3 linked regions of the Drosophila melanogaster genome follow. The protein of the gene in region 1 purifies or fractionates together with the protein of each later gene. This does not show direct contact. Each region holds a gene or a part of one and is shown on either strand. Other genes may lie near its edges.

The links. The genes of interacting proteins can lie anywhere in the genome.
Region 2: the proteins of HP1c (region 1) and woc purify together in Drosophila melanogaster (affinity purification with western blotting; 3 studies listed by BioGRID, with this or other methods). This does not show direct contact.
Region 3: the proteins of HP1c (region 1) and row purify together in Drosophila melanogaster (affinity purification with mass spectrometry; 4 studies listed by BioGRID, with this or other methods). This does not show direct contact.

The regions. Positions count from the first base shown.
Region 1 is NT_033777.3:22,743,596-22,747,823, reverse strand, and holds HP1c (heterochromatin protein 1c), read right to left. Parts: upstream 2,205-4,228; 5' UTR 2,108-2,204; coding exon 1,394-2,107; 3' UTR 1,325-1,393; downstream 1-1,324. Other genes in the region: CG31139 (uncharacterized protein), read left to right, coding at 1-81; CG17141 (uncharacterized protein), read left to right, coding at 298-496, 552-1,324; vret (vreteno), read left to right, coding at 2,300-2,610, 2,674-3,084, 3,150-3,966, 4,029-4,213.
Region 2 is NT_033777.3:27,257,685-27,266,561, reverse strand, and holds the start of woc (without children), read left to right. Parts: upstream 1-2,506; 5' UTR 2,507-2,785; exon of another isoform or gene 2,786-2,827; intron 2,828-3,110; 5' UTR 3,111-3,169; coding exon 3,170-4,007; intron 4,008-4,074; coding exon 4,075-4,335; intron 4,336-4,401; coding exon 4,402-4,446; intron 4,447-4,613; exon of another isoform or gene 4,614-4,618; coding exon 4,619-6,471; exon of another isoform or gene 6,472-6,512; intron 6,513-6,576; exon of another isoform or gene 6,577-6,681; coding exon of another isoform or gene 6,682-6,705; intron 6,706-6,764; coding exon 6,765-7,840; intron 7,841-7,903; coding exon 7,904-8,289; intron 8,290-8,353; coding exon 8,354-8,479; intron 8,480-8,543; coding exon 8,544-8,665; intron 8,666-8,723; coding exon 8,724-8,853; intron 8,854-8,877. Other genes in the region: l(3)mbt (lethal (3) malignant brain tumor), read left to right, coding at 1-59; CG14260 (uncharacterized protein), read right to left, coding at 278-565, 614-1,075; CG14262 (uncharacterized protein), read left to right, coding at 1,156-1,833, 1,887-2,147.
Region 3 is NT_033778.4:15,207,264-15,216,177, reverse strand, and holds the start of row (relative of woc), read left to right. Parts: upstream 1-2,543; 5' UTR 2,544-2,688; coding exon 2,689-3,571; intron 3,572-3,622; coding exon 3,623-4,452; intron 4,453-4,510; coding exon 4,511-4,601; coding exon of another isoform or gene 4,602-4,606; exon of another isoform or gene 4,607-4,933; intron 4,934-5,109; coding exon 5,110-5,933; intron 5,934-5,998; coding exon 5,999-6,366; intron 6,367-6,391; coding exon of another isoform or gene 6,392-8,185; intron 8,186-8,378; coding exon 8,379-8,914. Other genes in the region: CG8093 (uncharacterized protein), read left to right, coding at 578-670, 743-1,846; Ir51b (ionotropic receptor 51b), read right to left, coding at 6,392-8,185.

The sequences.
Region 1 (4,228 bases):
CTCACTTATAAAGTGCAACGGGAGCCGGGACTTCTGGAGGTATCCAACAAGAAAGCGGTGCAGCTGTACCGCGGAAAATAAACTTAGTATTTACAATCTTAGTTTTGTACCAAAAAATAAAAATCTGTATAATTAATTTTAAATTCAAATTTAAATCAGCCAGTGCTGCCACACCCAACAGCCAACTCCCCCCACTAGTGTGACCACACACAATCCTGGGTCAATTGTTACGTCACTGGCCAACAGCTGTTTGAAAGTTTTGATTTGGATTCGCTAGCATTACATGGATTCCGCATCATGGCAGCGCAGCTGAATCCATTCCGCAATGCCTTCCGGCTGCCGTCCAAGCAGCGCATCAACTGGTTTCCCGGCCACATGACCAAGGGTATGCGGCAAATTCAGCAAAAACTACGAAATGTAGACTGCATAGTCGAGATTCACGATGCACGCATCCCATTGGCGGGCAGAAACTCCCAGTTCTTTGACACAATCACCGGTGAGTACGTTTACAACCATAAGCTGCCACTTAATACGGGACTCATATTCCCCAGGAAGTGGTGTTAAACCGCATATTCTGGTGCTGAACAAAGTCGATCTGCTGGGCGCCAAACAGCAGAAGAGCGTGCTCCAGCAGCTGAGGAGACAGCAGCCCGAACTGCAGCACATCCTGTTCACCAACTGCAAGGATCAGCGCAACAACGGCGTGCTGGACATCCTGCCCCTGGCAACGCGCCTCGTGAGCGAGAGCAGTCGCTTCAATCGCACCCAAGCTGCCGAGCACAATCTGATGATCATCGGCGTGCCCAATGTGGGCAAGAGTTCCGTGATCAATGTGCTGCGAAATGTGCATCTCAAGAAGAAGAGCGCCGCACGCGTGGGTGCCGAGGCGGGTATAACTCGATCCGTCGGCGAACGCATCAAAATCCAAGAGAATCCGCCTGTTTACATGATCGACACACCCGGCATCCTCCAGCCCTCCATTAAGGATGATGAAATGGGCATGAAACTGGCCCTGGTGGGCTGCCTTCCCGATCATATTGTGGGCGAGGATCTGATAGCCGACTATCTGCTGTACTGGCTGAATAGCCACCGCAAATACGACTACGTGGAGATGCTAAAGCTCAGCTCCGGACCCAGTGACGACATCAGCGCCGTGCTGGCGGAGTACGCTCATCGGGAGGAGCTATTCCACAAGGTCAAGCAGTACGACGGACGCGTGGAGGTGATGACAAATTTATTGGCGGCCGCGCGAAAGTTCATTCACTTCTTTCGCTCCGGCCAGTTGGGTCACATGAATCTGGACGAACCCAGTGGTTTCAGATAGCTATACATATGTATGAATTAAACTTAGGGGCTTAGATTAAAGACTGAACAGTCGATTCTGCTCGCGTCCTTATTGATTTTCCGCCATGGGCACATCGATGGCAATGTCGCCAACGCCGGGCACGGGAATCGAGTACGAAACACTAGCCAAATCGTCGGTATCATTGGCTAGATCCATGGGTGCATGGTGCTGCGGCGCCTGGTCCACCTGTGGCGCGATTCCACCAAGATGTCCAGCCAACTCAGCGGACTGATCCACCTCCGGCGGCACTTCGACGGGCGCACTGCTAATGTGCGGATAACTGGTGCGCGAGGCCGCCAAACGCAGCTCCTCCGGCACGCCCTTCATTCGCATCGCAATGTGACGGGAGTAAGGTGCCATCTTCTGGAAATAGTCAATCAGCATTTGCGGATCCTTCTCCACGATCTGTGCCGATGGCACCAAGTCGAACTCGTCGCAGAACTGCCAGCGCACCAGATACTTGATGTCGCCCGTCACATCCGTTGCGCCCACGATCTCGGCCAGCTCCAAGCCGCGCTCGTAGCCGCGCAGCTTCTGGATCTCTTCGCACTTGGGTTTCTTCTCGCCGCGCTTCTTGGACTTGGCGCGCGACTCCTCGAATTTCTGGATGAGATTCGGGCAATCGCAGTTCTCCTCGGGCTCCCAGGTGTTGTCCGCCGACGTGTAGCCACGCCACTTGATGTAGTACTCAACCTTGCCTTCGCTGGTAATGCGCTTGTCCATGATGCGCTCCACCACGAAGTTGGGCTCGTTTTTAACCATTTTTTATTGTGTTTTTACAAGATTGTTTACAATATTTAAAATCGGCTTGGTTTTTTTCACTAGTGCCAGTGTGACCGTTTGCTGACTTCAACAACAGTTACAATAGCAACATACTTCTGACAGCATAGAAAACGGTCACACTCGCACGCGCTTGCAATTCGAATTCAGGTGAAATTTTAAAGCTCAGGTGCAATGGAATCCGAATCCTCGCAGGATGATTGGTCCGCATTCGATCCAATGTCCAGGGAATACTATGACCAAGTGGGCAACCGTTACACTAACGAGTCTGGCCAGAAACTAATCATGGAAGCCCCGCTGCCGCCAAAGGACGAAAAGGAGCAACGTGCCACCAGGCAGGCGAAGTATCCATACTTGGTGGTTCCAAAAAGCAGTCCCTATGTGACCGAAAAGATGCTAATCAACTTCTTCGGTCGGGCGCTCATCAAGGAGATGGAGTTCCGCCGCTTGTCACGCGTATACTTTGTCTACTTTGAAAATATCGCGTGAGTTTCTTCAAGCACTTTCGCAGGTCATTCAATATTTCGAGCGTATAATCCTTTTTCCAGATCCCTGGAGACAGCGCAACAGCGGGTGCAGCGTTACCCGAACCTGATCAAGTGCATCACTGGTCGCCCGCAAAAGGAGCGGGAAATCACCAGCGATCCGGTGACTTCCACTGAGCCAATGCCAACACCAGGCCCAGCAATTTCGGCCACTGAACGTACGCCAGTGAATCACAACAGAGAGGTTCCGATCTCGACCGGAGGACAAAATCATCCGGAGTTCTTCCGGCCACCGCTGGTCACCAAAGATGATTACAAAAGAGGTTCATTGTTGGCCACCAACGACCCCATTCAACGCTATCTCAATGTAAAGTACGAATTCGCACTGGAGCGCCATGATATCTACAAGCTTAAGGATGAGACCAGAATCCCGCAGGTCGTTCTGCACTTTCGTTCGGGCAGAACGATTCCTTTGTTAGTATAGCCACCTGGTCACGTGCCCTTGATTAGCTAACGAGTATAGTTTCTGCATCACTCAGGTCAACGGTTGCTGTCACCGAAGAGGATAAAACTAAAAGCCTGCTGGAAGACGGCGTCAGCAAGTGCGTGGTTTGTCAAAACTGGACAGACACTTTCTGCAAGCTGTGCAAAATGCCCTTCTGCAATGCCTCCTGTTTCGCCGATGTGGCAGAGCAGCATAAGCAAGCTTGCGGCAAGGGTGAGATACTTAACCTTGACGAAAAGGTGGGCCGGAAGTACCCCAAACCCGGCTTGCCGCCGTCTGGATCTAAAGTGAGAATTACTGCATTCGAGCAGACTAACGTGGTCTATGTGCGCTCGGCGGACATTCAGATTGACATCGCCTATTATACAGTTCTCACGGAGGTAATGATGCTGGGCAAAGATGCCTCCAAACTGCAGAGTACGCCAGTCTGCGGACAAATTGTGCTCTACAAGTTCGAGGGACATATGTCGCGCGCCATGGTGCTAAACGTGGATAATATCAAGGAAATCTATGTAGTGTTCATTGATTTCGGAAGTGTTGAAGTCACGCAGCTGGAAAGACTGTATGAATGCAGTTCGTATTTAGCTGGTTTGACCTGCTATCCCGTAGCCGTTAAATTACGCGGAGTTCCCAGGCGCTTTGTGGGTCCCAACATAAGGGAAGTCATGTACGAACTCGACCAGTCCCTAGTTTTTAATATCAAGTACTCGTCACGTGAGTACGATACCAGCAAGGGCATGCAGGTCGTGGTGATGACCGAGATCGATATTAATAGGAGCCTCAACCGCCTTTTCAAGACCATCCTAACTCCTGTTGAGCCGTCTGTCTCGGACTTGGGATACAAAGAGGACGTAAGCCAGAACTTAAAAAAACATCAAGTACACAGTTGTCATTTGCATTTATTCGGTTTCAGTGTCTTCCATACATTCCCTTGCACTGCGGAAAGAACATAAATGTAGTGGTAATGGACAACACATTCATCCAGTGCGGCTTTATCTACTGCACCTCCATAGATCTGGCTTACGAAGTCACCAAAATGCAGCGAGACATACAGGAGTATGGTGAAAAGATTGCCAAGTGCGCAACCTACGCACCGCCGTAAAGTTACTCGCC
Region 2 (8,877 bases), 4.5 Mb from region 1:
ACGGCGATGTGGCGATGGTGCCGATGGAAGTGCGCACGCCCTTGCGCACGTCCTCTTAGGACTCCGGATACCAGGCATCCGCTTCCGTTGATTGATTTATAAGATTATTTTGTTGCACCGGCCTCGGCCCATTCGGGTATTATGTTTATAGGTAGTATTTATTCTTTAAGCCGATATGAATTCGATTTTGTTTGTTTTTCGATCCCTAATCCAATAAATGATCCCTCTAGATATGTACACCATCCTGTCTATTTCCTTGGGTGGTAAGCAAACCTATCTATTCCTCCGGCGAAGGTTTTTCTTCTTCGGGCACAACTATGGTGCCATCCACTTCGAAGAGAACGTGACCGAACAACTGGGTTACCTCAACGAGCTGCTGGAACTGCTCCATGTCCTCGTAGCGCAGGTTGTTCACATCCTGGTAGTTCTTCAGCGAGGTCAGCAGTTCGTGATCGGAGAGATCTCCATCCTTTTTCAGGATTATCATCAGAGCCTTTAGCTCCTTAACACTCAGCTTGAGGAACGAGTTGTCCATGAGCACCTGCGTGGCTACGGGGAGGATTTTCTGGAATGGTATGGGGATTAAGCGAGATAAAAGTGCGGAAATTCATACTTTCGCCACGAGATCCATCAGTGCCGGATGGTGGTGCTCGCTGGCCAGGTGGAAGACCTGCAGAACCACCTCCATGGGCCACTCCTGGTGGGCCAGCTTGTCGATGTAGCAGTCGATGAAGTCCAGCATCTCGTAGCGCTCGGCCAGCAGCATGAGGTCACCGCACATGTCGATGGTCACCGCATTGCACACCTCGTACGTGTAGATGTAGAGGAGCAACGCCTCGTAGGCGGTGGGAGAGGCGTCGTCCACGCTGATCACTCGCTTGTTCTTCTGGAACTCGGGATCCCTGATCAGGCGCTCGAACTCCGCGGAGGCGGAGATGAGCATCACCTGGTGGCAGCGGAAAATGCATGGACAACGCTTGCCCTCCTTCAACTTGTCCGGTTGCGAGACATGGAGCTCGCAGTCCGACTTTTGGCCATTCCGCAACAGGTCCAGGCGGCGTAGCTTGCAGTTCATAGTGACTGGGGATTTTTTGGAGGCTTTGCTCTCACATAGCACAAAATTTGGAATTCGAAATTAGGGTTTCCCTGGCAGGAATGTCAGACTCTGAGAAGGAGGCCGCCGGCAAAGCCCACCTGGGAAGCAACAATCGGTGGTCCGACCTGGAGGAGGAGGAGGAGGGTGAGGCGAACGACCAGGGAGGGATCCAGAACTTGAGGCCGGAACTCGTTGTGCCCAGAACCACAGCTGCATCGGATGTTGAGGAGAATTTACCATTGGGTTCTCCGAGTGATGGGTCCAAACGCGCTACGAGTAGAAACCGCAGACTGGAATACTTTCGCAGTGGAGCCGATGCCGATTGCCAGGTGCACGTCCTGAGCAACTGCCCCCAATCCGATGAGCCGGCGGTCAGTGTGTGCTACAAGAAATTTGGCTGCCATCGGATCTTCCTGGCCACTGCCTCCGACAAACTGGAGCAGGACGTGTACCAGAACAAGGACTGGAACGGCGTACTCCAGATCAATGGGGTTTCGCCCGAGAGCGTGGAGATCTTCCTGGAGTTCATATACACCTTCGAGGTGACCTCGCCGCTGGTCCAGCTGAAGCTGGTGGGGGATATGTTCATCCTGTCCTGCGCGTACAACATGCCGGAGCTCCTTCGCTCCTTTGCTGAGAAACTAAAGGAGCAGGAATTGCCTCTGGATGGCATCTTTCCTGCCTTCGACCTAGCATTCCGGCATAACATCATCGATGTGGAGCGCGTTTGCATCGAGGTTAGTAGATTGGAATATAAAATGGAGCCTTAATTTAGTTAGTTATCCTTTAGAAAATCATAGAGGAAGGCGCATCATTGATCCACGAACCCAGTTTAATGAAACTCCCGGTCTATGCTCTAAACTACGCCATCCAGCACTGGCTGGTGGCGGATGCAGTGCCTCCCGATGAACTCATCACGATTTTAAAGCAGTATCAGGAGATCAATGAGATTACATTCGCCAACACGCAAAAATTCCCGCACTTCACCAAAATTATCAAGTATTTCCCCAATGTTCTTCTGGACGCCGAGGGATTCATCAATCAAAACTAGAAAACTACTTGGAATTCCCAAAAGCTTCGCGCATAAAACCCAAAAATTTAAAAAAAATAAGCCAATAAAATATCAGTTCTCATTAGCATTGTATTGGGTATCTTTTGCATATGGCAAACTGGAAGCTCATCTAAGGGGAAGCTTAGATGAAAGACAGTCTATATTTAAGTTGTAGTTTTCAATAATTTCCTATTGATCAAAAGCGATCCAAACTTTAGAAGCATTTTTCAAAAAGATAAACGAGCAGTGCTGCCAACCGGTTGCACCACTCACGCCGGTATTTTCTTATGCGCCATTTTCGGTATTTTCCGGCAGATACCAGCCAAGAAGCGAACGCGTTATGCGAGGGCCGCATTTGGTACACTAGTGCGCCATTTTACTCGCATAAAGCCGAAAATTCACACAGTGGCCAGAAAGCGAGAAATTGCACAGTGCAAAAAGGTGTTTGGTAATTGATGAAAAGTTTTGCGCGTACCGTGAACCGACCGTTAATGATGTGCCCGCACGCGCAGCGGTGAAAGGCAGTTAATTCGCCTGTGGAGACGCGCTCACCACAACAAACTCGTGCTGTCCGAAAAAAAAAGTCGGCGCTCGGATTGCGGATTATCGAAGTACCGTACGGCAAGGCAGCAAAAAAAGTACGGAAAAGCCGCCCATGCAACGCGGCCAAAAAAGATAATGCAAGTGCAGTAATATTAATTGCCTGGCAGAGCGGCGCATACAGACACACTCCTCCTTTTTTCCCCACTTTTTTTGTTCTCTGGAGGCGCATGTTTTGTTTTTTCGTGCACTGTACCGTGGGCTCAGTGTGTGTGTGTGTGCGTCGGTGTGCCTGTGCGTGTGTGTGTACACATTTTAGGCGGCAATGGTGTGGGGCCCTGGCCAGCCGATAGTCCGCCGCGCCGCGAATGTTATCGATAGACGAGCCCTAACCATTTGTTGTTTGTTTTCCTTTTGTTGCAGTTTTCATGTCTATATAAACAAACGTACAGCGAAAGTCGGTTAAAAAATCAAGCAGCGAAATGGAGGAGATATCCAGTTTGGACTCGTTCGGCGCCGATTCCAATGCGCGACCGGAGTCGGCCACCCCCAGGTCGGAGGAACAACAGGATCAGGATCGACAACAGACTGCTCCGGCGGCCAGTGAAACTCTGGATACGCCCGCCTCGCCGCCAGCGGAGGATGCAGCTGCGCAGGAAAGCAAACCGCCTCCTTCCAAGGAGGCGGATGACGACTTCGAACAGATCTCCGAGGGATCATTAGACGCCGATGATAACCAGTCGCGGGATAAGGCGGCTAGTACACCAGCTGATCCCGTGGATGCGGAGGAGCCCGCCGAGGAGCCAACGCCCAACGAGGAGCCGCAAGGCGGTGAGGATGAGCAGCCACAAACAGAAGCCGTGAGGGTAGATCCACAGGAAGAGCCCGAGGAGGCGGAGGAGGAGACTGATGCCCTCCAGGCCACTGCGGAAGAGGTGGAGGCAGCGGCCGCCGAAGCAGATGCTGTGGACGGCGGTCCCGCTTCACCCGAAGCAATGGATGTGGATGAAGGCGAGGTGGATGCAGAAGGTGAAGCTGAGCAGGAAGCAGAAGACGACGCAGCTCTGGATCGAGAGGCGACAGATGATGTAGATATGCAGTCCGTGGGCGCAGATTCACACCAGGCGGAGGATGCAGAGCCACCGGAGGGCCGAGATGAGGTGGACACAAGCTTAGAGGAGCAGGAAAATGGCCAAGATCCTGATGAACGGGAGAAAGATGCGGCCGCCGATGAAGATGATCCGGATGCAGAAGGAGATGCGGAATCGGAGCAGGTGGATGAAAATGCCGAGGAAACTGGTGAGGCCGAACATGGCGATGGTAAGTCTTAGTACTTCTTTGATGCATGTTTATAAAAGACTAAATGAATGAACTATTTACATTATAGACACAGTGGAAAATGTTTTGGAGCCAGAGGAATCAGATGTTTGCCTTATTCCCGATGATCAAGAAACGGAAGTGACTGAAGCTGAGAAGGAACTGGCCCGCGAGAATGCCGAGAAGGCCGCCGAAGAGGAGGAAGCCGAGGAGCGGCAAGCCAAGACACCCGATAACGATAGAAAGTCCCCGGCAGATGCCGCCGCCGATCCAGAAGACGACAGTGCAGCTGCCGTTGACGCCACCGACGTATCTCCAACCACGCCAACTGGTAAGTGCTCCACACTAAGACTTGAAATGCCCTATCCCACATCTACTCTATCCATTTTGCCTGCAGATGCTCAAGCTGGAGCTAAGTCGGCGGCAACAGGCATTGCAGAAGGTGAGCAGATTGGGTTAATTCCTGGGCAAAACTCACTAACTGCTTCATTCGACTGCATTCTATTCATTTAATTCTTGCTTTAAATTTAGTTTGTTATTACAAAATTGGCTCCTAGCATACAGAACGATTGCTTATTAAAATGTATATAACGTAAATCCCCTTTTTTTGCCAGCAGATGGAGTAGCTGCAGCAGCTAACGAAGAGGAGGCCGGTGGCGATGTTCCCGATCCCGACGAGCCCACAGCCGAGGAATCCTCCAGTGCCGGAGCGGGTGAACCTGGTTCCACGCCGAAAATCATCATTAGTTGGATCGTTGGCAGCGTTCAGAAGTGCAAACAGTGTGGCGATGAAAAGAATTGTGGGTTTCGGTACAGGAGTCCAGAGGAGTCAGAAGAAATGGATAAGGAGAAGGAAAACGATAAGGCAGAGGAGAACGCTGAGGAGGGGGAGGAGGAGGAGGCTCGGCAAAAGCCTGCTGCTCCCAGTGGGTTCGAGTACATCTGCGATACCGCCTGTGTCGACGCCCTGCTAGAAGATCAACCCGGCAAGTACTTTGTACGCCGCAAGAAGTTCCTGGTCGAGGAAGTGGTTCGAGAAGAAGGCGCCGCCGAAGCGGAGGCTAGCGCCGATGGCGAGGGCGGAGATGCCGAGGAGGAAGCTACTCCAGCCAACACGCAAGATTGCCTGCAGTGCAAGGATAAGACGCGGTGCAAATATTTCATTAAACAGGACCAGGACTGCTTCTACATTTGCAATGACGATTGCTTCAATCTGCTCAACGCTGAGGAGCCAGATAAATTCAAGCTGAAGCGGCACTCGATTCGAGTGCGCAACATTGGCGCCACAACGCTGCAGCCACCGCAAAATTCGCCCACCAAACGGACCGACGGCAGCGTGGTGGCCAGGACGGTGGAGGAGGCAGAGACGGCGCGCCTGGACAGGATCGAAAGCTTCCGAAGGCGCTGCGCCGACTGCGAGGCGGATATCAATACGGACGAGAAGCAGCTCATGTGGGAGACCATGGACTTCTGCAATGAGGTGTGCCTGGGCAGCTATCAGCGCACCATTGGCTCCACCTGCGAGACCTGCAAGCAGGAGGTGAGCTCCATAGCGCTTGGCAAGTACTGCGTGCGATTCGGTTTCGATGTGCGGCAGTTCTGCTGCGCCGGCTGCCTTAACACCTTTAAGAAGGGTCTGAAGACGTGCTCCTGCTGCCAGAAGGACATCAGCGGCGGGCAGGAGGGCTTCCTTGCCCCGGTGGGTGACAAGGATCAGTTCAAGGACTTCTGTTCGCAATCCTGCCTCCGTCGCTACGAAAGCATGTGCAATCCCCGACGAAAACTACGCACCGATGTCTGCGGTGTGTGCAACAACCAGAAGCCAGTGAGGGTGGAGATGCTGCTGGAGGACAGAGAGCACTACTTCTGCTCGAATCCCTGCTTCTCCGCCTTTAAGTTTGTGAGCAACGTGAACGCTGATCCGTGTGCCATGTGCTCCAAATACTTTGAGCGGCGGAGCGCCGAGTCCTACACCATCTACAACGAACAGCAGTCACCGAAGGTCTTCTGCTCGCGGGTCTGCATAAATGTGTACATCATCGTCAACAGGCACATCGTCTCCTGCCAGTGGTGCAAGGTGAAGAAGTACAACTTTGACATGATCTATCAGATTGGTGGGCCGCACGATCAGGAGACGCTCACCTGCTCCATCAACTGCCTGACCATGCACGGCGTTAGCTGCAACATCTCCGCCAGGGCGGTTACCAAATGCGACAATTGTTCCAACTTCAATACGCCACAGTATCATTTGACCATGTCGGATGCTTCCATGCGCAACTTTTGCACCTACCAGTGTGTGATGCAGTTCCAGAATCAGTTCGCCCGCGCTCCCCTCACGCTGGACAGCGACCTACCGCCCAGTAGCGCCGGCAGCTCCAAGTCCCAGCAGCAATCCAATCGAGGCAACAAGAATGCGGCACCATTTCCCACGGGCCTGCCCAAACGTGTCAAACTGAAGCTCTCCCACGTGAGTCAAAAACTAAATAATAAACTAAAAGGGTACACACTGGGTTTTTTTTAAGTTTTTACAATCGAATGATAGCCATGCAATAAGTGTTAAAATATTGAACGTAAACGAAGTATTTGCAATTTTTTTTACCTGCTCGCTTAATTATTAATACATTTACTTCAATTTGGCTTTCAATTCAAGTTTCAATTGCAATCCTAATTTCATTCAATGTCCACCAAAATGGGAATTAACGTAAATTAATTAAGTATCATACCTAAGTTGCATATAATTAATGTCCCCGATAATTGCAGACTGGAAAAGGTGGCGTTGGAGGCAAGAAATCCGGCTCCGGCACCATGCTACCGGTTATATCCACGGTGCAATCGCTCGCCAGCGGCGAAACCGAAGCCCGGATCGGCAATCTGACGGTTCGTCGCAAGCGTGGACGTCCACGGGAATCGGGAACCTCATCACCGCCGCTGTCCATGCCGGGTGTCCATCCGCCAGCACAGCGAGGAAGGCCACGCAAGCACGCTGTAGACTACTCGGCGCGTTCACCATCGCCCACGATGTCAGGTGGCAGCTCCCACATGGGCATTCCGGTCAGGCGAAATACTACCACGACTATGGATTTCGGGCCGGCTACGGTAACGGAGACCAAGATCATCACAGTGCCACCATATCCCAAGGCTGTGCGAAACGTGAACATAAGCTGTAAGCCCTTAACGGTGACCCAGGGCGAGCAGTGTAGTCCGGATGTGCGGGATTGCGCCACCCAGACGGAGAAAGACTACTCCAACAAGGTGCTCATCCCGGTTCCGGTGCCCATCTTCGTGCCGCAACCCATGTACATGTACTCGGCTCCGTTCCCCGTACCAGTGCCCATTCCGCTGCCAATCCCGGTGCCTATTTTCATACCCACCACGCGCAACACCGCGCAAGGCATACTTAAGGAGATCAAGAAGATACAGGACAAGATGCCAGAGGATCCACTGGAGGCGGAGTTGCTTATGATGGCCGAGATGGTGGCAGAGGAGAAGCACGAATCGGACTCCGATTCGGACAACGAGATCAAGCCGGATCCGGGCCTGGTAGCTCTGCAGTACCAGAACAGCCTCGAGTCCGTCGCCCAACAGCAGCAACAACAGCAAGTGGTGGACGTTAGCGGAGCCGGACATAATCCCTACGGCGACGATATGCTGCAGATAGCCCTCAAGATGGCCACAGGCGACTACGACAATCATCACCAGACCTCGACGGTGGATCTGGAAACGTCGATGACGGCGAATACGATCAGCAGCCAGTCGCCGATGGGTCACGACGGAATGGGTCAAATGGGAGTACATCATCTAGATCAGCAGCATCACATGCTTGATGCCACGCAGCGGTGAGTTAAGAGAGATGGCAATCAGAGATCAATACTCAAGTACTTAAATGTGATGACTTTCAGAACCGCACGTGGACGCAAGCGCGGCGTAGGCGTCGTCATGGACCCACCCAACCGCAACAGCCGCTCGCCGGTGAAAAGGCAGCGCGGCGGCGAGATGGATCACTCGGCCCTGCAGCAGCAGTCGCAGCAGGCACAGCAGCCGCAGGAGAAGCCCGACGCCCAAATGTTCCTGAAGTACACCTTCGGGGTGAACGCATGGAAGCAGTGGGTGATGACGAAGAACGCGGACATCGAGAAGAGCTCGATGCGCCGGCGGCCCTTCAAGACGGAGCTGCTTCAAATGACCGCCGACGAGTTGAACTACTCGCTTTGCCTCTTCGTCAAGGAAGTGCGCAAGCCCAACGGGACGGAATACGCGCCGGACACCATCTACTACCTTGTGTTGGGTATGTAGTTACTCCCCAGGTTTACACATGTACCATTTGATTTTATTGGAATCTCTTCCTTCAGGCATTCAGCAATATCTGTATGTGAATGGACGCATAGACAACATATTCTATGATCCGTACTACGAGCGGTTTACCGAGTGCCTTGACGAGGTGGCGCGCAAGTTCTCCGTGCTTTACAACGATTCGCGTAAGTTGAATCAACTTGAAATGAGTCAGTTCCAGCGTAACCACATCTTTATACACCTAAACAGAATACATTGTCACTCGCGTGGAGGAGGAGCACTTGTGGGAGTGCAAGCAACTTGGCGCCCATTCGCCGCATGTTCTGCTGAGCACGCTAATGTTCTTTAACACCAAGCACTTTAATCTGACGGTAGGAGTAAACGATGCCGCATTTGTTGACCTGGGCTAAATTGCGTTTGGTTTTTCAGACCGTGGAGGAGCACATGCAGTTATCCTTCTCGCACATAATGAAGCACTGGAAGCGCTCATCACAGAATTCCAAAGTTCCTGGCTCACGAAACGTGCTCTTACGATTCTATCCACCGCAGGCGGGTCTGGGTAAGCTCTTAACTAAGCTTCGTA
Region 3 (8,914 bases), on another chromosome or scaffold:
TACGAATATTCCAGCTGGCCACACTGATTGTGTCAACATGTTTACCGCCTATCGATTTTTGGACTTATCGACCGATTTTAATTTAAACTAATAGGCGCGAATTTTAATTATAGTAATCACTTTAAAATATTTAACTTAGAACTATGTGTAATATTAAATCAATTAATTCTTTTTAACATATTCATTTAATATACTACATTTATTGAGTTTTGTCCTTACCGGCTTAGCATGTCAGTTTACAGACTGATGTGGGGTCTTTTAATGTCCAGTTTGCCGTACGCCCAAAGCAGGAAATACTAATTGCTGATTAACTCTTAGCAATTATACCTAATCAGCAGTTATCAAGATTATAGGAGACCTTATCGCTGATGACCACTAGCCATTCGTTAAATCAACTGGGATCGAAATTCCCACACGATCTATCAGTCTTGGCGAATCAAACCATTTTGCAGGCAAAAATAAACAGTCATAAATTAGGCAGCCAAATCTAGGAATCCTTATCAAGTTCCTGGGGGGCATATAAAAGGCACGGGCGGCCAAGTCAGCGGTCAAAGCACCTGCACCTGTGGAATACAAAATGTTGGTGGTTCAGCTAATTGCGGTTTTTTTAAGTCTGGGCTTGGCTAATGCCCTGCCTGCGGATACGGGGCGCGCCAGTTCGGTGACAACTGTAAGTTTTAGGATGCCATGTTCTTTGGCACCCAAAAGTCCTTACTAACCACTATATTGCTCTACTTTCCAGGTCACCATTGTTAGGGGACACGGTTACGAAATCGAGGAGCACGAGGTGCAGACCTCGGATGGTTACATCCTCACAATGCACCGCATACCGTACTCGAAGAACACTGGGTACGATGGGCCACGCCCTGTTGTCTTCCTTATGCACGGTCTGTTGTGTTCCTCCTCGGATTGGGTTCTTGCTGGACCTCACAGTGGGCTGGCATACCTGCTGTCCGAAGCGGGCTACGATGTGTGGATGGGTAATGCCAGAGGCAACACCTACTCCAAAAGACACGCCAGCAAGTCGCCGCTGCTGCAGCCCTTCTGGAATTTTGAGTGGCACGATATCGGAATCTATGATCTGCCCGCTATGATGGATTACGTCCTTTACTGGACAAATGTGACTCAACTTACGTATGTGGGTCACTCTCAAGGAACCACATCCTTTTTTGTGCTCAACTCTATGATTCCGCGCTTCAAGAGTCGCATTCGATCTGCTCATTTGCTCGCTCCTGTGGCCTGGATGGAGCATATGGAGAGTCCTTTGGCCACGGTCGGTGGACCACTGCTTGGTCAGCCCAATGCCTTCGTCGAGCTCTTCGGCAGCGCCGAATTTTTGCCAAATACACAGCTAATGAACCTGTTCGGGGCTCTCCTCTGCAGCGATGAGGCCATTTCACAGTTCATGTGCACCAACACCCTATTCCTGCTGGGCGGCTGGAACTCGCCATATATCAACGAGACCCTGCTCCCAGATATTATGGCCACCACTCCGGCGGGATGCTCAGTAAATCAGATCTTCCACTACCTGCAGGAGTACAATTCCGGATACTTCCGGCAATTCGACTACGGATCTACGCGCAACAAGAAGGAGTACAGCAGCAAGACCCCGCCGGAGTACGATGTGGAGGGCATCGATGTGCCCACCTATCTCTATTACTCTGACAACGACTACTTTGCTAGTCTGATTGACGTGGATCGCCTTAGGTATACCATGAACCCGAGCGCCCTGAAAAGCGCATATCGCATGCCGGAAGAAAAGTGGAATCATATCGACTTTCTGTGGGGACTGAATATTAAAGAAATTCTTTATGATCGGGTAATTAACGACATAAATAATGCATAAATGTGCGCTGGAAATAAAAAAAAGCGACATACGTTTTTGTGACATTGTGATAAAAAAAGTTCCATTGGTCACCACTTCAACGGGGGCTTTTGGTAGCTAATGAACCGATAATATACGAGTGGTCATAAATTCAAATTGATTTGGTGACACTTCACGGTGACTGAACAACGCAAAACGAACTAGCCTGCTAACATTTTTTGCCTTATAAGTGCACCTGCTAAATACAATGGATTATATTAAGTGTAATATAATAAAATATAAGCTGTACTAGATATTTTTATTTTATTTGCTGATTGTGTACTGTTGAGAAATATTTTGCACTCTTAGTTTGAATTGCGCGCCAACTTTCAGGGATGAAGCATCTTGTAAAATCATCGATAGACTTTCAGCGTTTTTTGTGGTAGTCGATAGTCCGCAACATACTGATCATAGTAAAAAATATCTGTAATGTATATTTAGGTGGGAAAATATATTCATGGCATTTATTTATACGTTAAATCAATTCTTGTTATGATATTCCTTAATTGTAAAAAAATTTTATTCTTGTTCTTATTAGCAGAATATAAAATTGACCAGTTTACGTTAACACTTTTTTTTAAATACAAAAATTTGATTTATATTTGTTTATATTTTAACGAACCGATGTGTGGTGCACCACTGTGCGTGTGTCACGACAATACCCAAGCCGATATTATCGATGTTTTCATCGATGTTATTTACTCGAGCAGGTACATCCACGCAAGGAAAGCTAATTCGAGCGAAAAAAAATTTACTTAGCTCTTAATATTTTTAAAAACAACGCCCTCGCTGGGCCAGTGGTCGGTTAACTAGTTAGCTGTAAGATGACGCGCGTAACGAGAAGTGAAATCTCCCTGGACATGGAGTTCTGGGTGGAGGAGCTGTCGCCGGCACAATTGGCGTACTACGAGAAGATTACTAACGAGCACAACGCGGTGAAGGGTGCACTAAAGAACGCGGTTAGCGCCAACGAGGGCAAGGAGCTGTTTAACGGCCAGGTGTTCCAGGCCTACTCCTTTAAGGGCAAAGTGCTGCAGGAGCTCAAGGAGGCTACGCTGCCCAAAAAACCACCCAAGCCGACGGACTCTCCCTCAACACCCGCCGCCCAAAGCGGTGGCACAGGGCGGGGTCGTGGCCGCCCACCACGACAACCATCCAACATCGCCTACCTGGAGTCCTCCGATGAGGGAGACGACGATATGCCGCTGGCCAAGCGACTGGCGCTGTCTGCAGGCAAAAAAGCAGTGGCCGTGGCCAATGCATCTTCCTCGTTCACCCCGAAATCCAGTAAGAAGGCTGCATCCGCTGCTAGTGGAGGATCTTCTTCACCGGTACCTAAGAGCAGTGGAAAACTATTTAAGGAATCCAAACCGGACATCGAATCGCCGCCGAAGAACTACCGCCCCGCCGAGGTTAATTCGGTGGGCGGTCTGGTGGTGGGCAGCACCGACGAAAGCAAGGATAGCAAAGACGGCAAGGATGGCAAGGATAACAAGATGCAAGGAAAGACATATCCATCTCTGGTGGTGCTAGCAAAGCCTTTTCTCAAGATCAAAGACATGGCTGCCACCCGCAGCAAGCTGGACTCGAAGGTTAAGCTGGTGCTCATGCTTACGCCCAATAAATTCTGCGAGTGGCTGCTCCAGGAGGGATTGCTACGCGCTCAACAGCATTGCATAAACCATCGCAACAACGAGCTCAAATTGGGTAAGAGATATATGATCAACTGAATTCGTTTATTAATGTATTTATATTTAGGAATTTATTCGGATGTGACCAAGTTTCCCTACACTGGTGGCTATGTGTGGATCAGCGAATGTTGCCCCTACCGCTTCGTCTCCGTGTTCAACAATTCCATTTTCGAAGGAGCTCAGCACCCACCCACATTCCTGTTGAAGTTAATTTACCACTGGGCTTGCCAGACCAGTATTCAAAATGTGGTGCAGTGGGTTAAGGTGGACAGTGTTTATATCAAAGGAATCTACACCTGGCTTAGAGCCATTTGCACTTTGGCAGTGCATCAAAAATGCAAGAAGCTGGGCGGTCCCGGCAAGTTTGTGGAGGTGGGTGTTATTTCCCTAGGAACCACATCCCAAGATGGCTCCCAGCGACAAGTGAAAGTTGAGGTTCTGGGCGTCTATGATTATGCGGAGAAGTCCATCCGACTGCGGGCTGTAGAGCCAATCACCGATGGTGATCGTAACTACAAAAAGCGATTCCAGGCCATTCTTGAGCCACTGTCGCGCTGGGTGCACAAGGACAGCACCATTTGTATAGACTTGACTGTCGACAAGATCACCCTCTTCAGCATGGGATTCAAAAATATTGTCCAAGCAGCTGCCACTGACAACACAGCCAAGCACAACAACTCAGCGGTAATGGAATATTTGCGACGGATTGTGCCGCGCATGTTCCAGAACACCCTATCGTTGCTATCTCGCCAGATGATTCAACAATTCCTCGACGAGTTGGTATGGCGAGAGTCCTTTGGTACATATGCCTTGCAGGCATTCAACAATATCATAATACACATTGCCGAGCAGACAAGAGTAACCACCAATGAGACAATCACTCAGCGTCTGTATCAGGTAAGCAGAATCGAAAAATTTTTATTAGCGATTAGCCTTTAATAGCTCTTTCGTTTAGGTGGCAACCAATCCGTTCAAGGACTGGAGTATTTTGCCGGCCAACTACAAGGAGACACCTGCCAATGCTGCTCCCAAGCGCCTCAAGAAACGTTAGTACTATCGTACTTTTGTAGCAAGTTTTTATTTAGGCCGTGAATAGAATAGTGCGTTATGATAATCTGTTAAGTGCCTGCGTTTCTCACTCCAAACTGAAATGTTTTCGTTTTGTTTGATTAGTTTTGGTTAATCGAACCCAACAGCTGAGCTCAGGTCCACTTATTGTGTTATGTGAATTGTGAATTTATATAATCTATATAGGTGAAATGTATCATTGATATATTCACATATGTACAATTTAAGCATTACTTCCTGACATTTCTCGTGTCTAATTATTTTAAAACAACCCCATTAGAGAAACCATAAATAAACTTGCAAGAAATTTAATAACTGTTTTTATTTGATTTCCTTTTTCATTTGGAGTGATAAAACGCAAGAAAGAATTTACTAATTAAATTGATTGGACCCATTCCACCAGATTCAACAAAAATGGACAAATATGTAATGTTTAAGTTTGTATGTTGAGATTACATCTTTTTAAGTTAACATCTTCAATTGCAGCTATCAACGATGCTGACTACGTTGTTTCTAACAAGATTCCCAAGAAGGAAAAGGATCGTGATATAGCATCATCTGGAGTCAAGCGCGGCCGTCCACCGAATGCATTAGGCACCCCACCACCTCAATTGCCAATTAAAAAGGGTCCAGGTCGGCCGCCGGGCAGTACCAACCAGACAAAAGGAGACAGAGCAACGACCTCGTCATCTAAATCACTGTCTAAATCTCTGATAGCTAAAGGCCTTGGTAAAAAACCGAAAGAAAAAGATGAAAAGATTCCAATGGTCATTAAGAAAGAAGAGGATGATCTAAGGGGCTTGGAGGAGCTGTACTATGGAATAAGTGATGGTACGGACGAGTACCACGAGATCTTTCCATATAGCACACCCCGTACGGTTCACAACGAACTGGCCAAGACCGTGGAGTGTCCAATCTGCCTGAACGGCGACTCCTTCGATTCCAATGAGAAACTCCAAACGCATTTAGTATCGCATATTTCGCCAGAGGGTAAGCAGCACCAGTTCCAGTGCCTTTTTTGCTTGGAGAAGCATCCCACCGAGTCGGTTTTGGCCAAACACAACCAGATCATGCATCCAACTGAGACAAAAACGGAGGGTTCACCCTCGTACTACTGCCTAATATGCCAGCAGCGTCACAATTCCCTGCATCTGTTGACGGCTCATTTGCAGAAGGTCCACAGCACCCTGGAACTACCATATTGGTGTCACTCCTGCGGCTATCGATCATCTTCGCACCGCGATTTGGTCAGGCATTTTTATGACGACCACAAGCATCAAAACTTTTTACAGTGCCCCTATTGCTTGGATGTAAGTAGCTGTCATGGTAAAGTAATCTTGTAAAGTTCTCTCTATTAAAAACTGATTCTTTTTAGATTTTCTACTTCTCAAAGCTTGGCGTCGTTAACCAGCTGCGCATAGAACATTACTTCATGCATTTGGACGAGCACATCAACAAGCGTGATCCCTCGCTGCGCTGCCAGAAATGCTCGCTATCCTTCCTCGAGAAGGGGGATCTAAAGCAGCACGCAGTGCAGCATCATGTGAGCATGACTAAGACCAATAGACCGGTGCGTCTCTTACTCAACAACTCGATGTTGATACCACCGCCAAAGATTCGCACCCATCACCGCGAGCAGCCGCCGTTCTCCACCTACAAGCGGCCAGTATTCTTTGCTTTTCTGGAGGGTAAGACCTGTGCCGAGTGCAACACCGATTTCGCCAGCGAGGAGACACATTACACGTAAGTTCAAAAATATTTTATTTACCTAAGCAATAAATCGCCATGGATAAAGGTGCCAGTATTCACAAGAGAAAACCAGAGCTGACAGTATCCAACCAATTCCCAAGACACACCAGCCCAGTCTCAAAGTATCCACATCGATACTTTGATAGCCCAGGACGTTATCTACAAACCTAACGTATCCAGCACGCATGGCATCGTTAAAGTCGGAAACTACCCAGTGATTCAGCAGTCCAGTATCCTGAATCTTCAATATGAAATGGTTAAGGGATGTCTCCAAGTGGCTGTCAACGCGCATTGGATAGCCAATATGTGGAGATCCCAAGCAAGCAGATGAAAAGCGAAAAATCGGCTTAAAGGCATATTGCTGTTGCATGGCAAAAAACTGCCAACGTTCTTCTGTAAAAGGGTACGCGAAGCTGCGATTAAAACTCAGCAAAGCGGACACCTGTTCACTGGCATTTACAGGCACCAAAAGCCGAGATACTTTTTCCACTAATCGAGGTTCAACATGGCGCAGAAATGTGTTAATTTCATACTCCTTGACGAGCACCCTTTGCTGCTGGTGGACAAGCTGATCCATGCTATTTACTTGCTCGCCCACTACTATGGTTGTGAAGAAGCTGTCCAACTCAATGTTGTACCAACTTGTGGACATGAATCCCAGGACTGAAAGTTGTAGGAAAATAATCAAATGGCGCCATGTTGGTCTGTAAATTGTTATAGGGGGGCTGATAAAAAGTATCTTGCTTATCGCATCTAGAAAATTCAATCCCAAGCGTTGCGGCCAAGAACTTTTATTGAGTTTCGGGCTTATGCAATAGAGAATTCCAGTGATGTAGAAAACTGCGAATAACAGAATATACCAGCTGTACAATTGGAATGGTCGCAATAGGTACATGTGCCTTGGAATCTCATTTCTCATGGGCACAATCAAGCAGTTTGGATATATTAGTAAGGGGTAACTCTTGGTTGCTGTTGGGGGTGTGAAAACGTACGGGTGCAAAGAGATTTCCAATTGACCGTCTATAATCAACTGCACAATGTGGTTCATATTCACACTAGTTGTTGGGTCTAGATTCTCATCTGGATTGGTCAAACGCAGCGAGGCATTATAGTGATCCAAATATTCCACGAATGTGCGATATGCGTATCCCAGCACCTTTCTGCTCTTCGTTAATGGATCGTGCACATGAAACACTCTCGGAATATCATTTTCCGCCGGAGTGGATACTACATATCCATGGAAATTCCTTGCTGCATGTGGAAATAGCGGTTCCGTATGAATATCGAGTTTGAAAAAACGCATCGCCGGATACGGAGTGTAGGAATAAAGCTGATCCCTTTGCAGGACAAGAACGTTGAGGAATTGATATTGCCATAAGGCGTTGAATATTGATTTAATAGCACCTTGCGAGCCACTTCTTTGATTACGCAGAATGATGATCAATCGAATGCGACGGAGTTTTCGTAGATTTCTATCCAGAGTAAGCCACATGATATCATGTTTATCATGACAAAAGAACAAAGCTATGCCATTGTATCTAGTGATTTTAAAATGACCAAGGGGTCTTATATGTTCAGGTTGGAGAAATAAATTCATTGTCAAGCTAGTAACTCCCATTGTTTGATGGAGCCAAATAATCAAGTCGTTGAGGTCGCCTCCTTGCGTATTATGTCCGACGAATATTGGTGTATTTATCCACGGCTCCCGTGTAGAGATGAGACTTAGAACGGATTTCAACAATGTCACATTGTAAGCAGCGTTTGTTAGCGCCAGTAATAAAATAACGACCAATAAGGTTAACACTTTGCACATGGTGGTTGATTCAATTGTGACAAGCCAGAACCGCGGGTTGAGGTTTATAAGTCAGCAGCTAATTGATTTAATAGTGGCTGATTGATCTCTTGGGGAAAACTCATTAGAATGTGTGAGGCAATAATTTGTAATAAAAGGTTTTGGCGCTCTACGCACTCATTTAATCACTTTTTTATATTAAATCTTTTCCCAGTGGTTGGCTACACTGCGTTAAGTGCAATTATCAGACATGTTGCGAGCGAGCGCAATTCCGTCATGGCGTGGAATGTAATGGAAACTTTGTGGACGCCATGGAAGTGAATATGCCACAGGAGATGCACTGCATCTGCGGCTTTGCCACCGGCAACGGCAACAAGATGGCTCAGCACTTGGCAAATTGTGGACTTAGCACCTGCTACCCAAGTTTGGAGGCTGCCAGTGAGAATGCCGTCAAGCGTAATATGCTGGACATGTTGGGCCTGGTTCGACGCGATGGAGAAACCTCTGGTGAAGGTGCAGATATTAGCGAGACTGCTGATGATGTCGCGGATCAGAGCTCCGACATGTTGCCGCCGCAGGAGGACCATCATTTGCAGCAACACCATCAACAGGTGGGACATCAGCAACAGATGCAGGGACAGCCGAATGAACCGCAAGCGGAACTTCAACAGGAATACTTGTCGGCGCCAGTTGAGCATGAGCCCGTGCAGAATATGCCAGTACATCAGAGCATGCCGGTGCAGCAGACCG